Anolis sagrei: one gene and its partners. The protein of the gene in region 2 purifies or fractionates together with the protein of the main gene of each other region. This does not show direct contact. Links are inferred from orthologs where the notes say so. Each region holds a gene or a part of one and is shown on either strand. Other genes may lie near its edges.

Evidence for each region.
Region 1: the proteins of MEX3C (region 2) and MYCBP2 purify together in Homo sapiens (affinity purification with mass spectrometry; 3 studies listed by BioGRID and IntAct, with this or other methods). This does not show direct contact. The link is inferred for Anolis sagrei from reciprocal best matches to the Homo sapiens genes MEX3C and MYCBP2.
Region 3: the proteins of MEX3C (region 2) and AP2B1 purify together in Homo sapiens (affinity purification with mass spectrometry; 4 studies listed by BioGRID and IntAct, with this or other methods). This does not show direct contact. The link is inferred for Anolis sagrei from reciprocal best matches to the Homo sapiens genes MEX3C and AP2B1.

What each region holds. Positions count from the first base shown.
Region 1 is NC_090023.1:127,768,094-127,775,379, forward strand, and holds the start of MYCBP2 (E3 ubiquitin-protein ligase MYCBP2), read left to right. Parts: upstream 1-4,243; 5' UTR 4,244-4,435; coding exon 4,436-4,767; intron 4,768-7,286. UniProt on the Homo sapiens protein: Atypical E3 ubiquitin-protein ligase which specifically mediates ubiquitination of threonine and serine residues on target proteins, instead of ubiquitinating lysine residues.
Region 2 is NC_090022.1:286,899,517-286,907,385, forward strand, and holds the start of MEX3C (RNA-binding E3 ubiquitin-protein ligase MEX3C), read left to right. Parts: upstream 1-4,765; 5' UTR 4,766-4,780; coding exon 4,781-5,942; intron 5,943-7,869. UniProt on the Homo sapiens protein: E3 ubiquitin ligase responsible for the post-transcriptional regulation of common HLA-A allotypes. Binds to the 3' UTR of HLA-A2 mRNA, and regulates its levels by promoting mRNA decay.
Region 3 is NC_090031.1:28,420,320-28,428,186, forward strand, and holds the start of AP2B1 (AP-2 complex subunit beta), read left to right. Parts: upstream 1-4,839; 5' UTR 4,840-4,955; intron 4,956-5,016; exon of another isoform or gene 5,017-5,067; intron 5,068-6,787; 5' UTR 6,788-6,805; coding exon 6,806-6,842; intron 6,843-7,029; coding exon 7,030-7,135; intron 7,136-7,867. UniProt on the Homo sapiens protein: Component of the adaptor protein complex 2 (AP-2). Adaptor protein complexes function in protein transport via transport vesicles in different membrane traffic pathways.

The DNA of each region.
Region 1 (7,286 bases), on a different chromosome or scaffold from region 2:
TGCCTATTTTCATATTGGCATCCATTCACCATATTCTAGATCAGGGGTCCACAAACTTTTTGAACAGAGGGCCAGGTCACAGTCCCTCAAACTGTTGGAGGGCCGGATTATAATTTGAAAAAAAAATGCATTCCTATGCACGCTGCACATATCTTATTTGTAGTGTAAAAAACACTTTAAAATAATACAATAATTAAAAAGAGGAACAATGTTAACAAATATAAACTTATTAGTATTTAAATGGGAAATGTGGGCCTGGTTTTGGCTGATGAGATAGGATAGTTGTTGTTATGTACTTTCAAGTTGTTTCAGACTTAGGTTGACCCTGAGCGAATGACCTTGGAGGGCCGCATCCGGCCCCTGGGCCTTAGTTTGAGGACCCCTGTTCTAGATTCTTCCCTTTTACCAGAATTCTGCCCTTTGGTTTCTTCGCTGTCCCCTGTGGAAGAAAAATGCCATAATAATGGTGTGGTGTAATGTACTTAATGGCCCATAGAATGCAAGGAATAAAGAAAACTGTGGCTAACAGCAAGCAAGAAAGGAAATAAAAGGGAAAGGGGAAAAAACTAACTCATGAAGCAGTCCAAACAAGTGAGGCAAAGAAAAGGAAACTGATGTGACTGGCAGAAGGGACGGGACGATTGCCAAAATATTTTCCTTAGCTTTTCCTTTTGTGCTTGCTCTGCAGGCACAAAATAAACACAGATATAAGTCACTGAAACCACAAAGAACATACATTTCAGTATTATTGGAAGTGAGAGGCAGCATCAGGAAGCTAGATAGTTCCTGGACTTCCCCCTCTGTCTTTCCCCTAATTTTATGTACCTAGACAGTTTGATTTCATCCGACCTGATGATGTCACTTCACCCATCCACACAAAAAATGGCCACTTCTCTTTGTTCCCTTTGTCTGAGAAGGGGCACTCACAGTGTGTCAAATTTTAAAGGAACTTCCAAAATTCATGATGTTCAGGTTTGACATTTGGGAAATAGCTAAGAACATGTTTGTGTTCTACTTAAATATCAAATGAAGGCATTGATTTCAGTTAACCTAGTCATCTATTTCTCTGCAAAATCAACACATTGTCCATATTAAAAATGACACAATGCATATATTGCCATCTTTATGAAAAGCTCATATACAAAAATGCACAAATTTTTGGCATTCATTTAGCCCACAAAAATGGAAATGCACCCCAACCCTCAAATAAGAGACATTACTTATAAAAAAGGACATCTCCCAATGTATTAAGAGACAGGTTTTCTGGTCCGCAAATAAGAAACATCCCTTGTAATAGGGACAACCAAAGAACCTAGATAGTCATGAGGGACTCCATGTTCAATAATTATTACTAGCTTACTTCCATACATAAGAGCCATCTTTAGGGTCTCTTATAACTATATACAATGGTGATTAAGGTGTCTTTGCTGAAAATGACTTCTATCTTTGAGACACAACCTGTTTCCCAGTCATGTTGAGATCTACCTGTAATTTCTCTAACAAAAGATGTAATTGATACATTGGCCATGCCACTGAGTAACTATTAAGAACTTTATCAGGTTATTCTGGTCCTCTGAAACCCTTAACTTTCAATTCCCCAGAATCTTCACACTACTAGACCATATAATGCTGTAACACTAGAATTTATGTTTTCGTTTCTCCAGTCTGGTTGCCTGCCTTCAGTTTCTTTGACAAGCTGTGTGTTTGACATCTCAGTAGACAACAGAAAAAGAACATTGAGAACTGATGATAAAAATAGGGAAAGCTAATTTAATACACACACACACACACAAAGAGCAACCAAACTTATTACTGAACAAAGCTCTTCCAAACCCACATTTTAACTTGGCCTACACATCTAGATTCACTGCTGAGCAATGTCTTAGTCATCAACACAGCAGGCAAATGGCTGGCATTGTGGCACAGATTCTGCTCAGAACTGGAGAAAGTTCAATAATACTGAGTGTTTGAGTTGTCTAAGAGCAGGATAGCAGTTATGGTGGGGACACATCACCCAGACAACATGGAGCCTCATTAAATCAATTTCTGATTTATTTTAATTATTCAGTTTGTACAATATTCCAATTCATCAAAAACAACTATTGAGGTGGACATAGCTCCATGGTATTTATAGAACAAATACTCATAATTTGGATGATAAATGTCTTAGTTGTGAAAAATAACACATTATTGCTAGGGAGGTTACATAGAAATATATGTGTATGTCTGGGGAATCAGAGTAACAATTATGCCATCATTAATATGTCACTTTCTAAGCAGGCAGGGTAATTCTTATTATAGTACTAGCAGAAAGTTGGGGGAAGAGGAGAAAAGACATTAATGAAGGGTCAAGCTGTAACTATAACCTGGCAAGTCAAGTAAGTCTTTTTTTAACTGAAAGATGGCCATGCATAATAAATAAGAGGAATCCTCATCAAGCAAAGTTCAAGTCACTATCGATTGCGAGGAACATCAAACTAATCTAGGGAAAACAAATTAATAACCTCGTATGTAAACTTTCACAGAAAAAAAGTCCCAGTGGATACAAATGGGTATCTGCATTAAGTCACAATATAAGACCAGGCACCGTATGAAATACATCGGGCCATCATAAGTTACCCATCACACTAGAGAAACCCCCCTCCCCCCACTTAAAATCCAGTTTCTGCCTCCTGCAGAATTCTGGGGCTTGTAGTTTAGGGAGGAACCTTTAACAGCCTCACTAAACTACAAACTCCATAATTCTGCAGGAGGCAGAAACCAGATTTAAAGTGGATTTTTTCCTCTAGTGTGATGAAGTAGTTAGACAGGGAAATTGCAAATGCCTACATTGGGCTCTTGGTATTTTCTGTGGTTTGGTTCCAGTGTCCGTGTGGATATCAAAATCCACCCATACATATAATTGTGAAGTATAGAATGGAATATATAAGCATGGCAAAATCAAGCTTTTTAAGTTGTGTGTGCAATATTTTCAAGCTGTGGATAACTGAATGCCTGAATGCATAAGGGGGGCATATGGACACACACAGAATGATACTGCAGAGAAATGACCAAGCTGGGGGGGGGGGGTCACTACAAACTCCTTCGCCTTCCTGTGCTCCAGTGCCCTTATTAGACTGACCACAAAGTAGGGCTTTAACAGGAAACCTATTCAAGATGTCTAATTTGTACAAGAGTGACCATTCTTCCCAGTCGTGTTCAAGTATAGCCAAATGTGCAATCCTTTGCAGTCTTCTTCCATCTCCTTCTCCAGCAGGAATCCTTTCCAAGTTTCAGCCACGCACCGCTTGCCTTCCTCGCTTTGATTGAGGATCACCAATTATTATCTGCTGCAAGCAAACAGCAACCACGATAATTACAAATAATAATAATAATAATAATCTTTATTTATACCCTGCCACCATCTCCCCAAAGGAGACTCTGGGTGGCTAACATGAGGCCAAGCCCAAAATTATAGTACAGCAAAATAAAATACAAGAAGCAAAAATAACATCAAAATAAATACATGAAATAACAAAATAAAATAACCAGTTTCAAAATAACATGATAGAGAAATAGAACACAGTGGGCGGGCCAAATGTACTAGGAATAAAATTGATAAAACCCTGGATGAGGAATGTAGAATGGGTTTCTGAGGGAGAATGTGTTTCTGAGAATGAGTTTCTGAGGGAGGCACACTGGCATTTGCTGGCTCCTTCTCATGCAGTCATTATTCACGTGCTGCTCTGAGATCATAGGCTTTCAGAAGCAGGTGCTGCAGCCCATTCCCCTGCAAACAAACAAACACACACACACACACAAACAAACAAACAAGCAGAGAGAGAATGAATGGGAGGCTGCGGGAGAAGGAAAGGCGCTCTTCCAACCCAGCCAGGCGCACTTCTACGCATGCGCTTCGTCTCTGACAGGAGGTGGGCGGGCGGGGGGGAGTAAGAGGGTGGGGCGAAACAAAAGGGAGACTTCGCGCAGGCGCAGTCCCGACTAAGTGTCAGCGTTTTGACACACGGAAGAGGAGGTGGTAAAGGGGTGGCTGAAAGGGGAAGAGGCGGGGCCAAGAAAGAGAGCGCGCGTGCGCGTTGGAGAGAGAGAGAGCGCGCGCCGAGCCGGCCTAGCCTATCCGCTTTCCTTCGCCGCGCCCTGGCTTGGGCCGAGCGAACTCTCTGTGCTGCCGACCAATCCCCGCTCTCCGGCCACCCCCTCCTTCGCGCGCGCGCACAAGGCCGAGGGGGCGGGGCCGGGCGCCTGCCAGTCATCCCTGCCAGTCAGTCAGTCAGTCAGTCAGTGTGGCGCTGCCGGGCGGGTGGGCTGCCTGTGTCTGTTGCCCGCGGGGGCCCCAATGGCGGCGACGGCGGCGGGGGCTGAGGCAGAAATAGAGGCAGGGCCGCAGAGGCGCTGAGGGGAGGAGCGTGAGGAGGAAGAGGAGGAGGCGGAGGCCATGAGCGCGGCCGCCTCCGACGAGCCCGGCGGCTTCTTCCTCTTCCCGAGCGGCACCGGGCAGCAGCACCCGCAGCACCCGCCCAGCGTGGCCATGGGGCCCGGGGAGAGCGCGGCCTCCGTGGCCGCCTTGTCGGCGCTCCTCCCGCAGGCGCCGCCGGGCTCTTCGGGGCTGGGCTCCCCGGCCGGGGGCGCCAGTGGCAGCGTCGGCGGGGGCGCCTGCCGGGCGCGCTACCAGCTGCTGCTCTCGGGCCGGGCCCTGGCCGAGCGCTACCGGAGGATTTACACCGCGGCGGCGCTGAGCGAGCGGGACCAGGCCGGGCACCCGGGCAGGTAGGGAGAACAATAACAGCCCAGCAGCAGCAGGAGGAGGAGGATGCTTCTGCTGCTGCTGCGCACACGCCCCGCCAGGGACATCCGGGCGGTTGCAGGTGGCGCTTCCTGCCCTGACTCACCTGGGAGGGGGATAGATTGGCTCATCACTTGGGAGCCCCTCCCCCCAGCAACAATACAGCAATATATAATACTAATATTGTGCTGTGCTGATGTTGTAATATATTGTATACACATATAATATGGATAATATTATAATGCAATACAATATAATACTAATAATAATACAATGCAATGATTATATATTTTATATTGCATGTAATATTACTAATAATATTATATAGTACAATATAGTAAGATATAATACTAATATTGTCCTGTGCTAATAATAGGATATATTGTATACACATATAATATTGATAATATTATAATTCAATACTAATAATAATAAAATGTAATGATTATATATTTTATATTGCATGTAATATAAAATATTTTATTTTTATTTTAAACAGAGGCTGGATGGCCATCTGTTGGGGGTGATTTGAATACAATATTCCTGCTTCTTGGCAGGGGGTTGGACTGGATGGCCCATGAGGTCTCTTCCAATTCTTTGATTCTATGATTCTAATATTACTAATAATATTACAGTACACTGGTATAGTATAATATAGTAATATATAATATCAATATTGTGCTGTGCTAATAGGATATATTGTATACACATATAATATTGATAATATTATAATGTAATACAATATAATACTAATGATAATGCAATATAATAATTTTATATGTAATATTACTAATAATATTACTAATAGTATTACGGTATAGTACAATATAGTAATATATAATGCTGATATTGTGCTGTGCTAATAATATATTGTGTACACATATTATTGATGATATTATAAAGTAATACAATATAATACTAATAATACAATGTGATAATTATGTATTTCATATTACATGTAATATTACTAATAATAATAAAGTATAGTGCTACAGTACAAGATAGTCATATATAGTAGTAATATTGCGCTGTGCTAAATATATGTTGTATACGCATGTAATATTGATAATATAATGTAATGCAGTATAATACTAATAATAAAATATAATTTTATCTTTCATATTACATGTAATGTTATTAATACAGTACAGTGGTATAGTATAATATAGTAATATATAATACTAATATTGTACTATACTAATAACATAATATGTACATATAGCTTGTAAGCCACTCTGAGTCCCCTTCGGATTGAGAAGGGAGGCATATACGTCTCACAATAAATAAATAAATAAAGAGGGGGAGGCTGGGCTGCATCCTTCACAGAAGCACCGCCCTCGGCCTATAGACCCCCTCATCACCACCTCCTCAGGATCCAGAAAAGAACGCCTACCTACTTCACACCCCCTCATCTCTTCTGCATTTACTTTAATTGTCCATTGAAATAAAACCCAGCTCTTTGAATCCACTGGTTCCCAATGAGAATTCGCAGGGACAGTGAAATCATGCTCCCTTGTTGCTGTGCTGTTGGGATGAACTTTGCCTCTGATGAGTGCACGCCTCCTCAGAAGTAAACCCCAATGTATTCAGTCGTATGTAAGTGAGGCCTCATCTACAATGTCATATAAAATCCACATCATCTGCTTTGAACTGGATTTTATGGCAGTGTAGATTCATATAATCCAGTTCAAAGTAGATAATCTGGATTATCTGCTTTGATTTGAATGTAGAAGGGGGCTTAAGAATAAGGATAGGGAGTTTATTGTACTATGAGATTTTACTGTCTCTGAGAATCCAGCTCAATTGTGAATGCATCGAATTAGGGAAAGGCAGAAGCTGGGACTAACAGTGGGAGCTCACCCTGCTCCCAGGATTTGAATTGCCAACCTTTCAGTCAGCAAGTTCAGCAGCTCAGCGGTTTAACCTGCTGCGCCACAGGGCTAATATGGCAGTGTAAACTCATATAATCCCGTTCAAAGCAGAGAACCTGGATTATCTGCTTTGATAACGCAAGCCAACAAAATCAAACTTTTTGTAATCATCAGAAATGAGAGTAGCACAGTTTGAATCAATCTTTATGTTGATTTTAAATACGTCTTTTTTCCCATCATGTCAACTTTTTTTTAAATGACAAATGGTACATTGCAGTGGACTACTGTAGAGTCTGCACATTTTGCATCGTATTCGTCTAACAAGCATTTTTCATCAAGTATTTTTCATCAGATATAATTTTGGGTCATTCTTACAGAGTGTTTTGTGCTGGGTTGTTCTGCCTTGATATTCTGGGTTTTATGGCTGTGTGGAAGGGCCCTTGGATATCTCACAGCCAGGTACTCCTGGATTGCTTATTACTTTCTTAGTTGTCTAAAATAGGAAGTTGTTTCTTTCTCTTTACCTGAAGGTAGTTTAACTATGGGTCATTATACTTCTTTGTAAACATTTCAAAAGACAACAAGGCACATTAGAGTTAGCATAACAATAATAATAATAATAATAATAATAA
Region 2 (7,869 bases):
AATCTTATTCAGACAATGAGGGATCGCCTAAGTAGTAAGTAAATGAGGGACAGTGAACTGGCCCCCTATTTTAAAAATTTGAGGACCCCTGGTGTATGCACTTTCAAGTTGCCTGCTAACTTATAGGAACAACACAAATTTCATAGGAATTTCTCAGGAAAGGAATATACTCAGAGGCACCTCTGCCAGTTCCTTCCCTTGAAATATAACCTACAGTACCTTGTATCCAGTCCAAGTACTAACCAGGGCTGAGCATTTAGCTTCCAAGATCAAGTGGATACTTAGACAAACAATATTACAACATAGGTAACATTAAAACATTGCCTTGTCACATTACGTTAAAGTTACATTACACCAAAATGAAAATACGCCACCCAGTAAACAACACATTATTCCTTCTTTCCACCACTTTATTCCTTAAATTAGCAGCCTTGGAATGCAAAGAGAGCAACCCATGGGACACAGAAGGGTTTAAACTACTCCATAACAATGTGAGTTTGTTTTTCACAGACCAATTTCTCCTGCAAGTCAGAAAGGGGCACAGATAATGGTCTGTAGAGCTTGAACATAAATGGTACTCAAGTAGATTATATGCCAGACAAGGTTAATAAAAAATTAATGTGGGCCAGTAACTTTTGGGGATTCAACTTGCTAATTTGCACCAAGTGACATACATACATACACCGTGCTCTTATTCCAAACCAGGAATATTCTTGACCAGGAGAATAGGTTCCTCTGCCTGTCAGAGGCAAAAAAAATCATTTATTTAAATAATCATTGGAGATCAAGGCTTTCTGAATAATAGCAGGTTGTATGAACTACTCTTTGGGACACCATCAGGGATCGTGACACCAATTTTTGTGAAGTTTCAGTAGAAAATTATTATCTATATAAATAAAAATGTAATGTTCGTTTGTGGGATTAACCAAACTCAAAAACCACTGGATGAATTGACACCAAATTTGGACACAAGACACCTAACAACCCAATGTATGTCCTTCACTCAAAAGAAAAATTATTTTGTCATTTGGGAGTTGTAGTTGCTGGGATTTATAGTTCACCTATAATCAAAGAGCATTCTGAACCCCACCAATGAGGGAATTGAACCAAACTTGACACACAGTTCTCCCATGACCAACAGAAAATACTGGAAGGGTTTGGTGGGCAGTGTCCTTTGGTTTTGGAGTTGTAGTTCACCTATATCCAGAGATCACTGTGGACTCAAACAATGATGGGTCTAGAACAAACTCTACACAAAGACTCAATATGCCCAAATGTGAATACTGGTGGAGTTTGGAGGAAATAAAATCTTGACATTGGGAGTTGTAGTTGCTGGGATTTATAGTTCACCTACAATCACACAGCATTCTGAACCCCACCAACGATAGAATTAGGCCAAACCTCCCACACAGAACCCCCATGTGGGCCACAGCAATGCGTGGCAGGGGACAGCTAGTTTCATATAAATATTCCTGGTTTGGAATAAGAACATTGTGTATGTATGTATGTCACTTGGTGCAAATTAGCAAATTGAATCCACAAAAGTTAGATATAACCTCATCCTTACCTGTACTGTGTCGATATACCTGCAAGGTTAAAACTCTATACTGATTGACTTTTTGAGTCTTCAGGTGTGCCTGCACTCCAGTCAGAGATGTCATTATTACTCAAGCACAATGACACTGTCAATCACATTGTTTCATCGGCACATCCTACAAGCACACACCATTGTTTTCATTGCTGCTGTTAATTTTATAGTCATCGAATTTGTCAAATTTTCTGGTAGTTTAGCAACAATATTGTGACGCAGAAGGAAGTCCATCGGGGTCACATGCCTTAGTCACATCCCACCTGGACTACTGCAGCGCTGTCTGTGTGGGGCTGCCTTTGAAGACTGTTTGGAAGCTTCAACTGGTTCAGGGATCGGCAGCCATATTACTAACTGTAGTACCGTACAGGTAGTGGACAACTCCACTGGCTGCCAGTCTGCTGACAGGCTAAATACAAAGTGCTGGTCATTACCTATAAAGCCCTAAACTGTTTGGGCCCAGATTACCTGAAAAACCACATCTCCGTGTACAAACCAGCACAAGCACTACGGTCTGCAGAGGAGGCCCTCCTCTTGGTCCCATTAAAAATTGCCCCCTCTCTGCTCTCCTTTTAAAAGCTTTTTATAACACATCTATGCACTTTAGCCTATGGAGAGGACTAATTACACCTTATATACACCTCCACCTTGTTTTGAACATCTACCTTATTAATCTGCTGTATACCATCTTAACTACAATATTTTTTGTTGAATTTTAGGAGTTTTTTCAAAGTGACCATCACTCAGAAAAGCACTAGAAAACACAGTGGAAGGGACTTAAAAACCCAAAAAACAAAAAATACATTACAACGCATGCACAAAAACCACATATATAAACAAACACACATTTATACACACACATATATGCATATATACATACACAAAACACAGACGGGGCCACAGCAATGTGTGGCAGGGGGTGGCTAGTATATATATATATATATATATGTATGCAATGTTTGTTTGTGGGGTTAACATAACTCAAAAACCACTGGATGAATTGGCACCAAATTTGGACACAATTACACCTCTCAGGCCAACGAGTGACCACTCATCAAAACACTGAAAAACACAATGGAAGGGACTTAAAAGGCAAAAACAAAAATTACATTACACCGCATGTGCAAAACCACACATATATGCATATATATACACATACACACATATATACAGACACATATATATGCATATATACACACAGAAAATACATATACATAGACTGGATCACAGCAATGCATGGCAGGGGACGGCTAGTGTGTGTGTGTGTGTATATCTTTCCCTTCCTTCCTTCTCACCCTTTCCCTTGCCTTCTGTTGTGTGTGTGTGTGTATGTATACCTTCCCCTTCTTTCCTTCCTTCCTTCCTTCCTTCTTCCTCACCCTTTCCCTCTTCCTATCCTTTGTGTGAGTGTCTCTCTCTCTCTCTCTCTCTCTCTCTCTATATATATATATATACATCTTTCCCTTCTTTCCTTCCTTCCTCCTCACCTTTACCCTCTTCCTATCCTTTGTGTGTATGTGTGTATATATCTCTCTTCCCCTTCTTTCCTTCCTTCCTTCTTACTCTTTCCCTCTTCCTATTCTCTTTGTGTGTGTGTGTGTATCTTCCTCTTCTTTCTTTCCTTCCTCCTCACCCTTTCCCTTTCCCTCTTCCTATCCTTTGTGTATGTGTGTATATGTATGTATATATATATGTGTATGCATGTATGTATGTGTATATATGTGTGTATGTATGTATGTGTGTGTATATATATATATATATATATATATATATTCCCCTTCTTTCCTTCCTTCCTTCCTCTTTCCCTCTTCCTATTCTTTGTGTGTGTATGTATATATATATATTTCTTTCCTTTCTTCCCACCCTTTCTCTCTTCCTATTCTCTTTGTGTGTATATATGTTCCCCTTCTCTCCTTCCTTCCTTCCTCACTCTTTCCCTTGCCACCTTCCTATTCTCTTTGTGTGTGTATATCTTCCCCTTCTTTCCTTCCTTCCTCTTCACTCTTTTCCTTGCCACCTTCCTATTCTCTTTGTGTGTATATATGTTCCCCTTCTTTCCTTCCTTCCTTCCTTCCTCTTCACTCTTTTCCTTGCCACCTTCCTATTCTCTTTGTGTGTATATATGTTCCCCTTCTTTCCTTCCTTCCTTCCTTCCTCTTCACCCTTTCCCTTGCCACCTTCCTATTCTCTTTGTGTGTGTATATCTTCCCCTTCTTTCTTTCCTTCCTCTTCACTCTTTTCCTTGCCACCTTCCTATTCTCTTTGTGTGTATATATGTTCCCCTTCTTTTCTTCCTTCCTCTTCACTCTTTTCCTTGCCACCTTCCTATTCTCTTTGTGTGTATATATGTTCCCCTTCTCTCCTTCCTTCCTTCCTCACTCTTTCCCTTGCCACCTTCCTATTCTCTTTGTGTGTGTATATCTTCCCCTTCTTTCCTTCCTTCCTTCTCAACCTTTCCCTTGCCACCTTCCTATTTTCTTTGTGTGTGTATCTTCCCCTTCTTTCCTTTCTTCCCACCCTTTCTCTCTTCCTATTCTCTTTGTGTGTATATATGTTCCCCTTCTCTCCTTCCTTCCTTCCTTCCTCACTCTTTCCCTTGCCACCTTCCTATTCTCTTTGTGTGTGTGTGTGTATATATATATATATGTATATATATATCTTCCCCTTCTTTCCTTCCTTCCTCCTCACCCTTTCCCTTGCCACTTTCCTATTCTCTTCTTTCCTTCCTTCCTCCTTACTCTTTCCCTCTTCCTATTCTCTTTGTGTGTGTGTGTGTGTATCTTCGTCTTCTTTTCTCCCTTCCTCATGTGTATATATATGTATATGTATATATATATATAATCTTCACCTCCCCTTCCTTCCTTCCTTCCTTCTTTCCTTCCTTCTCACTCTTTCCCTTGCCACCTTCCTATTCTCTTTGTGTGTGTGTGTATATCTTCCCCTTCTTTCTTTCTTTCTTTCTTTCCTCCCTCCTCTCTTTGGCCCTCATCCCGCCCTCTCCTCTCCTCCGGGGCAGGCCTGGGTGCCCTTTCCCCCTTTCCCGGCGGTGGCCTGTCTCCACCCCGTCACAATCCCCGCCGGGCCAACCCAACAATCCTGCCCCGGCCGGGGTCTCGGGAGTGGGTTTTGGCCGCGGCGAGAGGGCGGGCAGAGGCAGGGAAGCAACGAGGCGGCGGCGGGCGTGGCGCGTGGATGCGGTCGGCCGAGGAGGAGGAGGCGGAGGAAGAGGCGGAGGAGGAGGCGGGGCTGGATCCGCCATCGCCACCGCCGCCTTCTTCCCCTTCTTCTTCTTCCCGAGGAGCCGGAGAGGGAGAGAAAGAGCCGGAGCAGGAGGAGGAGGGACAGGAGGAGCAGGAGGAGGGCGAGGGGGAGCGGGCGGCGCTGCTGCCATGGAACAAAGGGAGGCGCGCTGAGGGCGGCGAGGAAGGCCCTGGCGGCAGCAGCGACGGCGACGAGGAGGAGGCGGAGGAGGAGGAAGAAGAAGGAGCAGGAGCAGCACCGAGAGGGGAGCCGCCGTCGCCATGTCGTCGCCGCCGCCGCCTCCTCCGAGGGCCTGACCGGCCTCCGCCTTCCTCGCCGCCACCTCCTCCTCCTCCGCCGCCTCCGTGGGGCCTAGCCGAGCTGCCCTGGGCGGCCATGCCGAGCGGCAGCGCCTCGCCTTCGCCTCAGGAGGAGGAAGCGCCGCCGCCGCCCTCAGGAGACATGGTCCTCCTCCTGCCCTCCTCGTCCTCCTCCACGACTAGGCCGCAGAGCCTGTACTCCCAGGAGGCGCTCTTCCTGAGGGAGCGCCTGGCCTGCTTGGGCCTGAGGGAGGCCTCCGCGCCACCGCTCTTTCCTGAGGAAGAAGACGGCGACGAGGAGGAGGACGAAGACGAAGAAGACGGCGAGGAGGAGGAGGAAGAGGAGGCCGCGCCCCCGCCTGAAGGCCTGGACCTCGATTTGGAAGAGAACGCCGAGGAGGAGGGAGAGGGAGGGCAGGCGTCGCTGCTGCTCCTGCCCCGCGCCGTGCTCCTCCCGCCGCCCTTCGAGGCGGCCCCCGCGGCCTCCACAAGCGGAGGAGGAGGGGGAATAGGAGGAGGCCTGCTCTACGCGCCCGGCGAGGACGGGGTGCCCCCCGCTGTGGTGGCCGCCATGCTCTCCCAGGCTTACGGGCCTCCGCCGCCACAGCCAGGAGTGGGAGCAGCAGGAGTAGGGGGAGTGGCGGCTCCCGGAGGAGGCGGCGGCGGAGGCGGGCCGGCCCTCAACGGCGGAGAGGCGGCGGCGGCGGCGCTGCTGCGGAGGAAGAGCGTCAACACCACCGAGTGCGTCCCCGTGCCCAGCTCCGAGCATGTGGCCGAGATCGTGGGGCGGCAGGGTGAGTCGCCAGCCAGGCAGCTGGAAGGCCTTTCCTTCCAGACACCTCCTCCTCCAACGTTCATGGAAACTAGGCCCAGTCAGTGTCTTTCCCCTTCCCATGGATAACAAGGCCCAATCAGCCCAACCCACAACCTCCCTTTCCCTCACTCCCACTCTTCTGCTTCCTCCTCCATTCAAAACACAACTGTCTGTTTCCCTACTCCTTTGGACCCATCTACCCTTTCAAAACAAGGCCACAACTGTCCGTTTCCTCCCTTCCATTTCTCTTCTTCCTCCTCCATTCATGGAAGCAAGGCCCAGCCAGCTCAAGACACAACTGTCCGTTTCCTCCCTCTCACTCCCCTTCCTCCCACATTCATGGAAACTAGGCCCAGCCAGCCCAACATACAACTGTCCATTTCCCTTGGACCCATCTATGAAAACAAGGACCCAACTGTCTTATTTCCTCCCTTCCACTCCTCTTCTTCCTTCTCTATCATGGAAACAAGGTCCAGCCAGCTCAAGACACAACTGTCCATTTCCTCCTTTCCACTCCTCTTCCATCATGAAAACAAGGCCCAGCCAGCTCAAGACACAACTGTCAGTTTCCCTCGTCTCTTGGACCCATCTTCCCCTTGAAAACAAGGCCACAACTGTCAATTTCCTCCTTTCCACTCCACTTCTTCCTCCTCCATGGAAGCAAGGCCCAGCCAGCTCAAGACTGGCTGGATCCACCGTCCCTTTGAGAACAAGGCCCCAACTGTCCATTTCCACTCTTCCACTTCTCTTCTTCCTCCTCCATTCATGGAAACAAGGCCCAGCCAGTTCAAAACACAACTGTCCATTTCCTCCTTTCCACTCCTCTTCTTCCTCTTCCATCATGGAAACAAGGCCCAGCCAGTTCAAAACACAACTGTCCATTTCCGCCCTTCCATTTCTCTTCTTCCTCCTCCATTCATGGAAACAAGGCCCAGCCAGTTCAAGACACAACTGTCCATTTCCGCCCTTCCATTTCTCTTCTTCCTCCTCCATTCATGGAAACAAGGCCCAGCCAGTTCAAAACACAACTGTCCATTTCCGCCCTTCCACTCCTCTTCTCCCTCCTCCATTCATGGAAACAAGGCCCAGCCAGTTCAAAACACCTGTCCATTTCCTCCTTTCCACTCGCCTTCCATCATGGAAACAAGTCCCAGCCAGCTCAAGACACAACTGTCCATTTCCCTACTCCCTTGGACCCACCTCTCCTTTGAGAACAAGGCCACAACTGTCCCATTTCCTCCCTTCCATTTCTCTTCCTCCTCCTCCATTCATGGAAGCAAGGCCCAGCCAGCTCAAGACACAACTGTCCATTTCCCTGTCCCTTGGACCCATATTCCCTTTCAAAACAAGGCCACAACTGTCCATTTCCTACCTCCCACTTCTCTTCTTCCTTCTCCATTCATGGAAGCAAGGCCCAGCCAGCTCAACACACAACTGTACATTTCGTCGTTTCCACCCCTCTTCTTCCTCTTCCATCATGGAAACAAGGCCCAGCCAGCTGAACATACAACTGTCCATTTCCCTCATCCCTTGGACCCATCTTCCCTTTCAAATCAAGGCACTGTCCATTTCCTACCTCCCACTTCTCTTCTTCCTTCTCCATTCATGGAAGCAAGGCCCAGCCACTCAAGACACAACTGTCCATTTCCTCCTTTATACTCCGCTTCTTCCTCCTCCATTCATGGAAACAAGGCCCAGCCAGCTCAACATACAACTATCCATTTCCTCCTTTCCTCTCCACCTTTTCCTCCTCCATTCATGGAAGCAAGGCTCAGCCAGCTCAACACACAACTGTCCATTTCCTTCTTTCCACTCACCTTCCATCATGGAAACTAGTCCCAGCCAGCTCAACATACAACTGTCCATTTCCCTCCTCCCTTGGACCCATCTTTGTAAACAAGGCCCCA
Region 3 (7,867 bases), on a different chromosome or scaffold from region 2:
GTGAGTATATCAATAGGTACCGCTCTGGCGGGAAGGTAACGGCGCTCCATGCAGTCATGCCGGCTACATGACCTTGGAGGTGTCTACGGACAACGCTGGCTCTTCGGCTTAGAAATGGAGATGAGCACCACACCCCAGAGTCAGACATGACTGGACTTAATGTCAGGGGACTACCTTTACCTTTTTACTTATTATTATTATTATTATTATTATTGGGTCAGCCCTGGTTAGGGTGTGAATGGGAGATTATTATTATACTTACATTATTACTATTATACTTAATATTATTATACTTATTACTAGCTGTTCCCCTGCCAAGCGTTGCTGTGGCCCAGTCTGTGTATATGTGTTTTGTGTGTGTATATATTTCTGTATATGTGTATATGTATGTTTGTGTATATATATGTGGTTTTGCACAAGTCTTGTAATGTAATTTTTGTTTTTTGGCTTTTTAAGTCTCTTTCTCCGTGTTTTCCAGTGTTTTTATGAGTGATGGTCACTCCTTGGCCTGAGACTTGTATTGTGTCCAAATTTGGTGTCAATTCATCCAGTGGTTTTTGAGTTATGTTAATCCCACAAACGAACATTACATTTTTATTTATATGGATGTACTAGCCGTCCCCTGCCACGCGTTGCTGTGGCCCACATGGGGGTTCTGTGTGGGAGGTTTGGCCCAATTCTATTATTGGTGGGGTTCAGAATGCTCTGTGATTGTAGGTGAACTATAAATCCCAGCAACTACAACTCCCGAATGTCACATTTGGGCATATTGAGTATTCTTGTAGAGTTTGGTCCAGATCCATCATTGTTTGACTTCATAGTGCTCTCTGGATGTAGGTGAACCACAACTCCAAAACCAAAGGACACTGCCCACCAAACCTTTCCAGTATTTTCTGTTGGTCATGGGAGAACTGTGTGCCAAGTTTGGTCCAATTCCATTGTTGGTGGGGTTCAGAATGCTCTTTGATTGTAGGTGAGCTATAAATCCCAGCAACTACAACTCCCAAAGGACAAAATCAATTTTTTGAGTGAAGGACATACATTGGGTTGTTAGGTGTCTTGTGTCCAAATTTGGTGTCAATTCGTCCAGTGGTTTTTGAGTTATGTTAATTCCACAAACGAACATTATAATTTTATTTATATAGATTATATGTAGATGATTATTATTATACTTATTATTATTATTATGGCACCAGATCCTACTGACCTTGGAAGCTAAAATGTGTCAACCCTGGTTAGGACTTCCATGGGAGATGATGTTATTATTATTCATATAATCCAACCCATAGGCAATATTTCAGAGTAAAGACCCATCAAAACCATTTCCAAAGGAAACTATTGGGTTTGCCGTACATCAACCACCAACTTGATGGCCCATCCGCACAAACGTTAATTGTAGATTTAAGATCAAAACAGTTGTCCTTGTGGGCCCTTCAAAGGCCTTCTTCCCAACTGATGGCAAGCTGACCAAATGGATGGGATGCAATACCAGATTTTGAATGGAGATGATGCACCTGTAAAGCCGGAGAACTTCTTGGGCGGGTCGGAAGAAGCGGCCGGCGCCTTCTTTGGGGAGGTGATTTGTCCGCCGGGAGAGATCTTGGCCTGCACGACTGCCTTCTTCTTGGGGGTGTTGGAGGCTTTTGAGCTCAGCTCTGCAAAAGAGACCGGTGTCGCATCAATCTCGTTCCCCCCAAACCCTCAATGGCAGTCCAATACAAGCCATTCCCTGCCTATGTATGTATATATGTATGTATCTCTCTCTTAGGGGTTGGACTATGTATCTATCTATGTATCACTCTCTCTTGGAGAGAGTCCCTTCCAAGTCCAGCTACCTATCTATCTATGTATCTATCTATCTATCTCTTGGGTAGACTGGATGACCCTTGGAATCCCTTCCAAGTCTAGCATTCCATCTATATATCTATCCATGTATTTATTTATCTCTTAGGGGTTGGACTGGATGACCTTTGGAGTGCCTTCCAGGTCTAGGATTCTCCTCTCTCCCTCTCTCTCTTAGAGGTTGGACTGGATGACCCTTGGAGATATGTATGTATGTATGTATGTATGTATGTATGTATCCATCCATGTATCTCTCTCTCTTAGGGATGAGACTGGATGACCCTTGGAGTCCCTTCCAAGTCTAGCATTCCATCTATGCATCTATCCATGTATCTATTTATCTCTTAGGGGTTGGACTGGATGACCTTTGGAGTGCCTTTCAGGACTAGGATTCTCCTTCTCTCTCTCTCTCTCTCTTAGGTGTTGGACTGGATGACCCTTGGAGATATGTATGTATGTATCCATCCATGTATCTCTCTCTCTCTTAGGGATGAGACTGGATGACCCTTGGAGTCCCTTCCAAGTCTAGCATTCCATCCATCCATCCACAATTCTACCTAAGTACATACCATTCCCTCTCTCTGTCTTATGAGTCCAGCTGACTGTCCCTGTGGGTCCTCCTTTCCATCCCTGTGGCCCTCTGTTCCTTTTCTGTCCCTCCCTCCCTCGATGTGCTGAGATCCCTCACCCGCGATGTGTTGGTTGATCATCTCCTTCTCGGGCTCCTGCAGCTCCTCCCATCCCTCCAGGTCGGTGAGGTCCTCAATCCGCTTGGTGGTGGCTCGGGCGCGCTCCAGCTTCTCGAAGGCGCACTTGACGTGGTACCACTCCTTCATGTCCCCGCCGGACTCGGAGAAGGGGTTGGGCACCACCTTCCCGATGCGCACCGTGCCCTTCAGCAGCTTCTCCTTGCACTTCTTGCAGCCGGCCGTGCCCCGCTTGGCGTAGTCCACGCAGTAGCGCTGCTCCGCCATCTGGGAAGGAAGGAGAGCCAATCTCCGCAAAGGCTGTGTAAATAGCAATGGGGGGAAAGCGATCCCAGGTTGAGGCGGCCGCCTCGGGAGAAAGATCAGCCTCTGGCTCTGGTTGAAGGCCCTGGTTGTCCGTAGAAGGAGCGCCGAGAGGAGGAACGGCATGCAGCGCCCGGAGCAGAGTGACTAAAATACTCTGAAAAAGAGACACAACAACAACAATAGACCATAATACAATAATAATTCTATCCTTCCTTATGGTAGAAGGGGGTTGGTCCTTCTTCCTATCTATCTGTCCATCCTTTTCTTTCCCTCCCTCCTTTTCCTTCCTTCTTTTTCTCTTCTTTTGCTTTTCTATCTTTTTCTTTCCTTCCTTCCTTCCTTCCTTTTTTTCTTTGTGGCTCTTTCTTTCCTTCTTTCATTCCTTCTCTTTTTCTTTCATTCTTTCTTTCCTGCCTTCTTCTTTTTCTTTGTAGCTCTTTCTTTTCTTCTTTCATTTCCCTCATTTTCCCTCTCTTCTTTCTTTTCTCTTCCCTCCCTTCCCCTTTTTCTTCCCTTCTTTCCCTCATATCTTTTCCCCTTTCCTTCCTTCCCCCTCTCCTTTTTCTCTTCCTTCCTTCCTTTTCTTTTTTTCTTTGTGGCTCTTTCTTTCTTCCATTTTCCTCATAAGCCTTTCCCTCTCTTTTTTCTTTCTCTTCCTTCCTGCCTTCTCTCTTTTCCTTCTCTTTCTCTTTCTTTCCTTGATCGTTCATTCCTTCTCCATCTTTTTCTTTCTTTCCTTCCCTCCTTTCCCAGCTTTTTATTTCATTCCTTTATCCCTTCTTTCATTTCCTTTTTCTTTCATTCATTCACGCTTTCTTTCCTTTCTCCTTCTATTTCTTTGTGGCTCCTTCTTTCCTTTCTCTCTGTCCATTTCTTCCATAAACCTTTTCCCTCTCTTCTTTCTTTCTTTTCTTTTCTCTTCCCTTTCCCCTTTCCCCATCTTTTTCTTTCATTCTTTCTTTCCATCCCTATGTTTTCCTTCCTCCCTTTCTCTTCTTTATTCTTTGTGTCTTTTTCCTTTTCCCCTTTTATTCATAAACCTTTCCTTCTTTCTTTCCTTTCTCTTCCCCTCTCTTCCTTCGTTCCCTTCTTACATCTTCCTTTCTTCCCTTCTTTCATACCCCTTTCCCTTTCTTTAGCGTGTTCCCTCCTTTCCTGACCTCCTTTTCCATCTCTTTCTTTCCTGCCTTCTTCTTTTTCATTGTGGCTCTTTCTTTCCTTCTTTCATTTCCCTCCTAATCCTTTTCCTTCTCTTTTTTCCTTCTTTTCTTTCTCCTTCTTCTTTCTCTTCCTTTCCCCCTCTTCCTTCCTTCTCCCCTTCCTCCCCTTCACACTCCTTCCTCTTTCTTTCTTTCCTTCCTACTTCTTTTTCTTTGTGGCTCTTTCTTTCCTTCATAAACCTTTCTCCCTCTCTTATTTCTTTCCTTTCTCTTTCTTCCACTCTCTTCCTTCCCTCCTTTTTCCTTTCTTTCCTCCTTCCCTTTCCTTCATAGACCTTTCCCTTTTCCCCTTCCTTTTCCTTCCTTTTTTCCACATACCTTCCTTTCTTCCTCTCTCTTGCAATGGTCGCCTAGCAACAGCCAATCCCCTTCCTCCCTTCCGCAGCCATAGAGAAGAAGGAGGAAGAAGAAGAAGGGAGGGAGAAGAAGTTCCTTTTTGTTGCATGAGAGAAAAAAGTAACTTTCCCCTACTTGCATATTTCCATATCCACTTCCTCACCTTTGTTTTCCCTCTTGCAGGACCATTGCTAGGCCTCACCGGAAGTGGCTCCCGCCTCAAAGCCTCGGCTAGGCCTCACCGGAAGTGGCCGATCTAGGACTCCACACGCCTCATGTCCCACACCTAAGCCGCTCTAGGACTCCAAAGGAAAGGGAGGGATACAGAAGAAGAGTGGAAAGAAAGGGAAGTGAGTTTCCTTCCTCACTTCTGGTGGGTATGGCCTCCCCACCGGAAGTGGGCCTTCTTGGGCGCTTCTAGGCGGGGGCGGCTCTATGGGCCCGGCTTCCGGTCCTCCCAATCCTTGACCCCACCCTGGCTTCTTCTTCTCTTCATTAAAGAAGGCTTCTGCTGCTTCTCTTCCTTCTCCTTCTTCCTCTTTAGGTGAGATTAAAGGGGCGTGGCCTCTGGGCTTCCAGGCCACGCCCACTGTGGGAGGGAGGGAGGGGGAAGAGGGAAGGGAGCCATTGATCTTGCCTCCTTCCCTCCCTGCAAGGTAGGACTACTCTGATGACAAGGCCTCCCTTTCTACCCCTATTGATTAGTCCCCTAATTAGTGAGGTTAATGAGTTGGGGCCAATTGGGAAGGAAGGAAGACTGAGCCCCCCCCCTTCTCTCCCTTGCTTTCATTATTATTATAATTAATTATCATAAATTATAATAAAATTATATCATTGATAACATCCATTATAATATAATAGTAATAGGAAGTAAGAAAAGGAATGAAGAGAAAAAAGGAGAGGAGGGAAGGAAGGAAAGGGGAAAACTCCCCCCCCTTCTCTCCTTTGCTTTCATTATATTAATTATCATAAATTATTGTCATGGTTGGTCCTGAAACTCGCTGGAACACCTCAGCAAGCAAGAGTCCAAAAGTGGCAGGCTCAAATCCAGCACCTCAACCAATGGCTGATACCAAATGAGAGACTCCCTCCTGGGCACACAGAGGACTGGGCGACTTGGAAGGCGCTGAACAGACTGCGCTCTGGCACCACGAGATGCAGAGCCAACCTCAAGAAATGGGGCTACAAAGTGGAATCCTTGACATGCGAGTGTGGAGAGGAGCAAACCACAGACCACCTGCTGCAATGCAACCTGAGCCCTGCTACATGCACAATGGAGGACCTTCTTGCAGCAACACCAGAGGCACTCCAAGGGGCCAGATACTGGTCAAAGGACATTTAATCAACTACCAAACTCACAAGTTGTGCATTTTTCTGTTTGTTTGCTTTGTCCTGTTAGAAATGTAATATAATGGACTGGCTGCTCTGACACAACAAATAAATCATAAATTATAATAAAATTATATCATTGATAGCATCCATTATAATATAATAGTCATAGGAAGTAAGAAAAGGAAGGAAGAGAAAAAAGGAGAGGGTGGAAGGAAGGAAAGGGGAAAACTCCCCCCCTTCTCTCCCTTGCTTTCATTATTATTATAATAAATTATAATAAAATTATGTCATTGATAACATCCATTATAATAGTAATAGGAAGTAAGAAAAGAAGAGAAAAAAGAAGGAGAGGAGGGAAGGAAGGAAAGAGAAAAGGAATGAGGGGAAGAATAGGGCTTTTAATTAATAGGCAGGAAATGGAAGAAAAGAAAGAAAGAACGAGCCACAAAGAAAAAAAAAGAAGGGAAAGGAAGTATTAATATTTATTATTATATACTTTTTATTATTATAATTTAATAATATTTATGATTATATTTTTATTATTATTATTATTTATTAATACTGAGCTGCCGAACTTGCTGACTGAAAGTTTGGCAGTTCGAATACGGGGTGTGGGTGAAAATTTAATTATTATTATTAATCTTTATATTATTGTTGTTGTTATTATTATTACAATATTTGGAGAAGAGTGTCCTGTATTTCAGAGGAAGGAGCTGGCAAAAACATTCCTGGCCCAAGAAAACCCCATTATATTCCCTAAATCCCTAAGCAATTTGAAGCTCACAAGATGGGGAATGAATGAGATGAACTTAAACTCTTAACCCAGGAAAGCAAAAGCAGCTGTCACTTTGCTAAAGGCCTAAGTCTCCATCAGATCTTGGATGCTAACCCTTGAATTGGATTATATATTTGGAGTCTACACTGCTGTATTATCCAAAGTGGATCACTTGGATTATATGGCTGTGTCAATTAAGCCTAAGAAAAACCCAGGTGAATTGACAGGTGAATTGACCTGATATCATCTTTTCCTTTCCTTCATGATAGTCTTAGGAAGCCGAAGCCATGACGGATTCCAAGTACTTCACCACCAATAAAAAAGGTGAGATGGGTATAGAGGAATATAATATTATACCATTATTTAATGTAATTATATAATATATTATAATGTAATATAATATATTATAATGTAATATAATATTACTATAATATTATGATGCTATTATTTCATATAATAATAGTATAATGGCATTTCTGACTGGACTGTATTTCCTTTCCCTCCTTCCAAGGGGAGATCTTTGAGCTGAAAGCAGAACTCAACAATGAAAAGAAGGAGAAGCGGAAGGAAGCTGTCAAGAAGGTCATTGCGGCCATGACCGTGGGCAAGGACGTCAGGTACGGAATTATTGTAACATAATAATAATAATAATAATAATAATAATACCATCATCAAACCTTATCTGAATAAAAATTATTATTACATTACTAGCTTGGGTGCCTGGTGTTGCCCAGGTTATTTGAACAAGTCAATTTTTTTAATGGTACGAAATGCATGTGGTTGTGGGTGAACTACAACTCCCATCATGCCAATTTAAACCTGAGAAACTCCCATCAGTGCTTCAAGTTTGTTATGTTGGGCAAATTTGCTCTGGCTACATCATCACTGTGGTTCAGTGTGCTCTCTGACTCCTATAAATCATGTTGAATTCTCCCCAAACATCTCTTGTATGTTCATTATTATGATCAATTCCTGTGTTTGCTGTGTGCCATAGAAAAGAATAGGGAAGGGTTAAGGGAGAGGCAGTGGGCGGGGTCATGCAAATTCCACACCAACGGAGAGAGTAAGAAACACTGCGATGTCTGTGGTGGAGGAAATAAATCAAATCTAGGATGGAATTGTCCCCGAATGAAAACCTTCCCTTGGGTGGTGGGCAAGATGGTGTTGGTGGGAGACATTGGCAGGGCTCCTGGACATGTTTACAGCACTCACTATAACCTGCAATGTCATTGGAGGGAGGGAGGGCCTTTGGTGTCACCTGAGTGGTGGGAGATATAGCTGTTTGTGGAGGCAGGCGCTTTTCTTCCTTCCCTGCATCTCTCTATCTTTCATTCATTCTATCTTTCCCC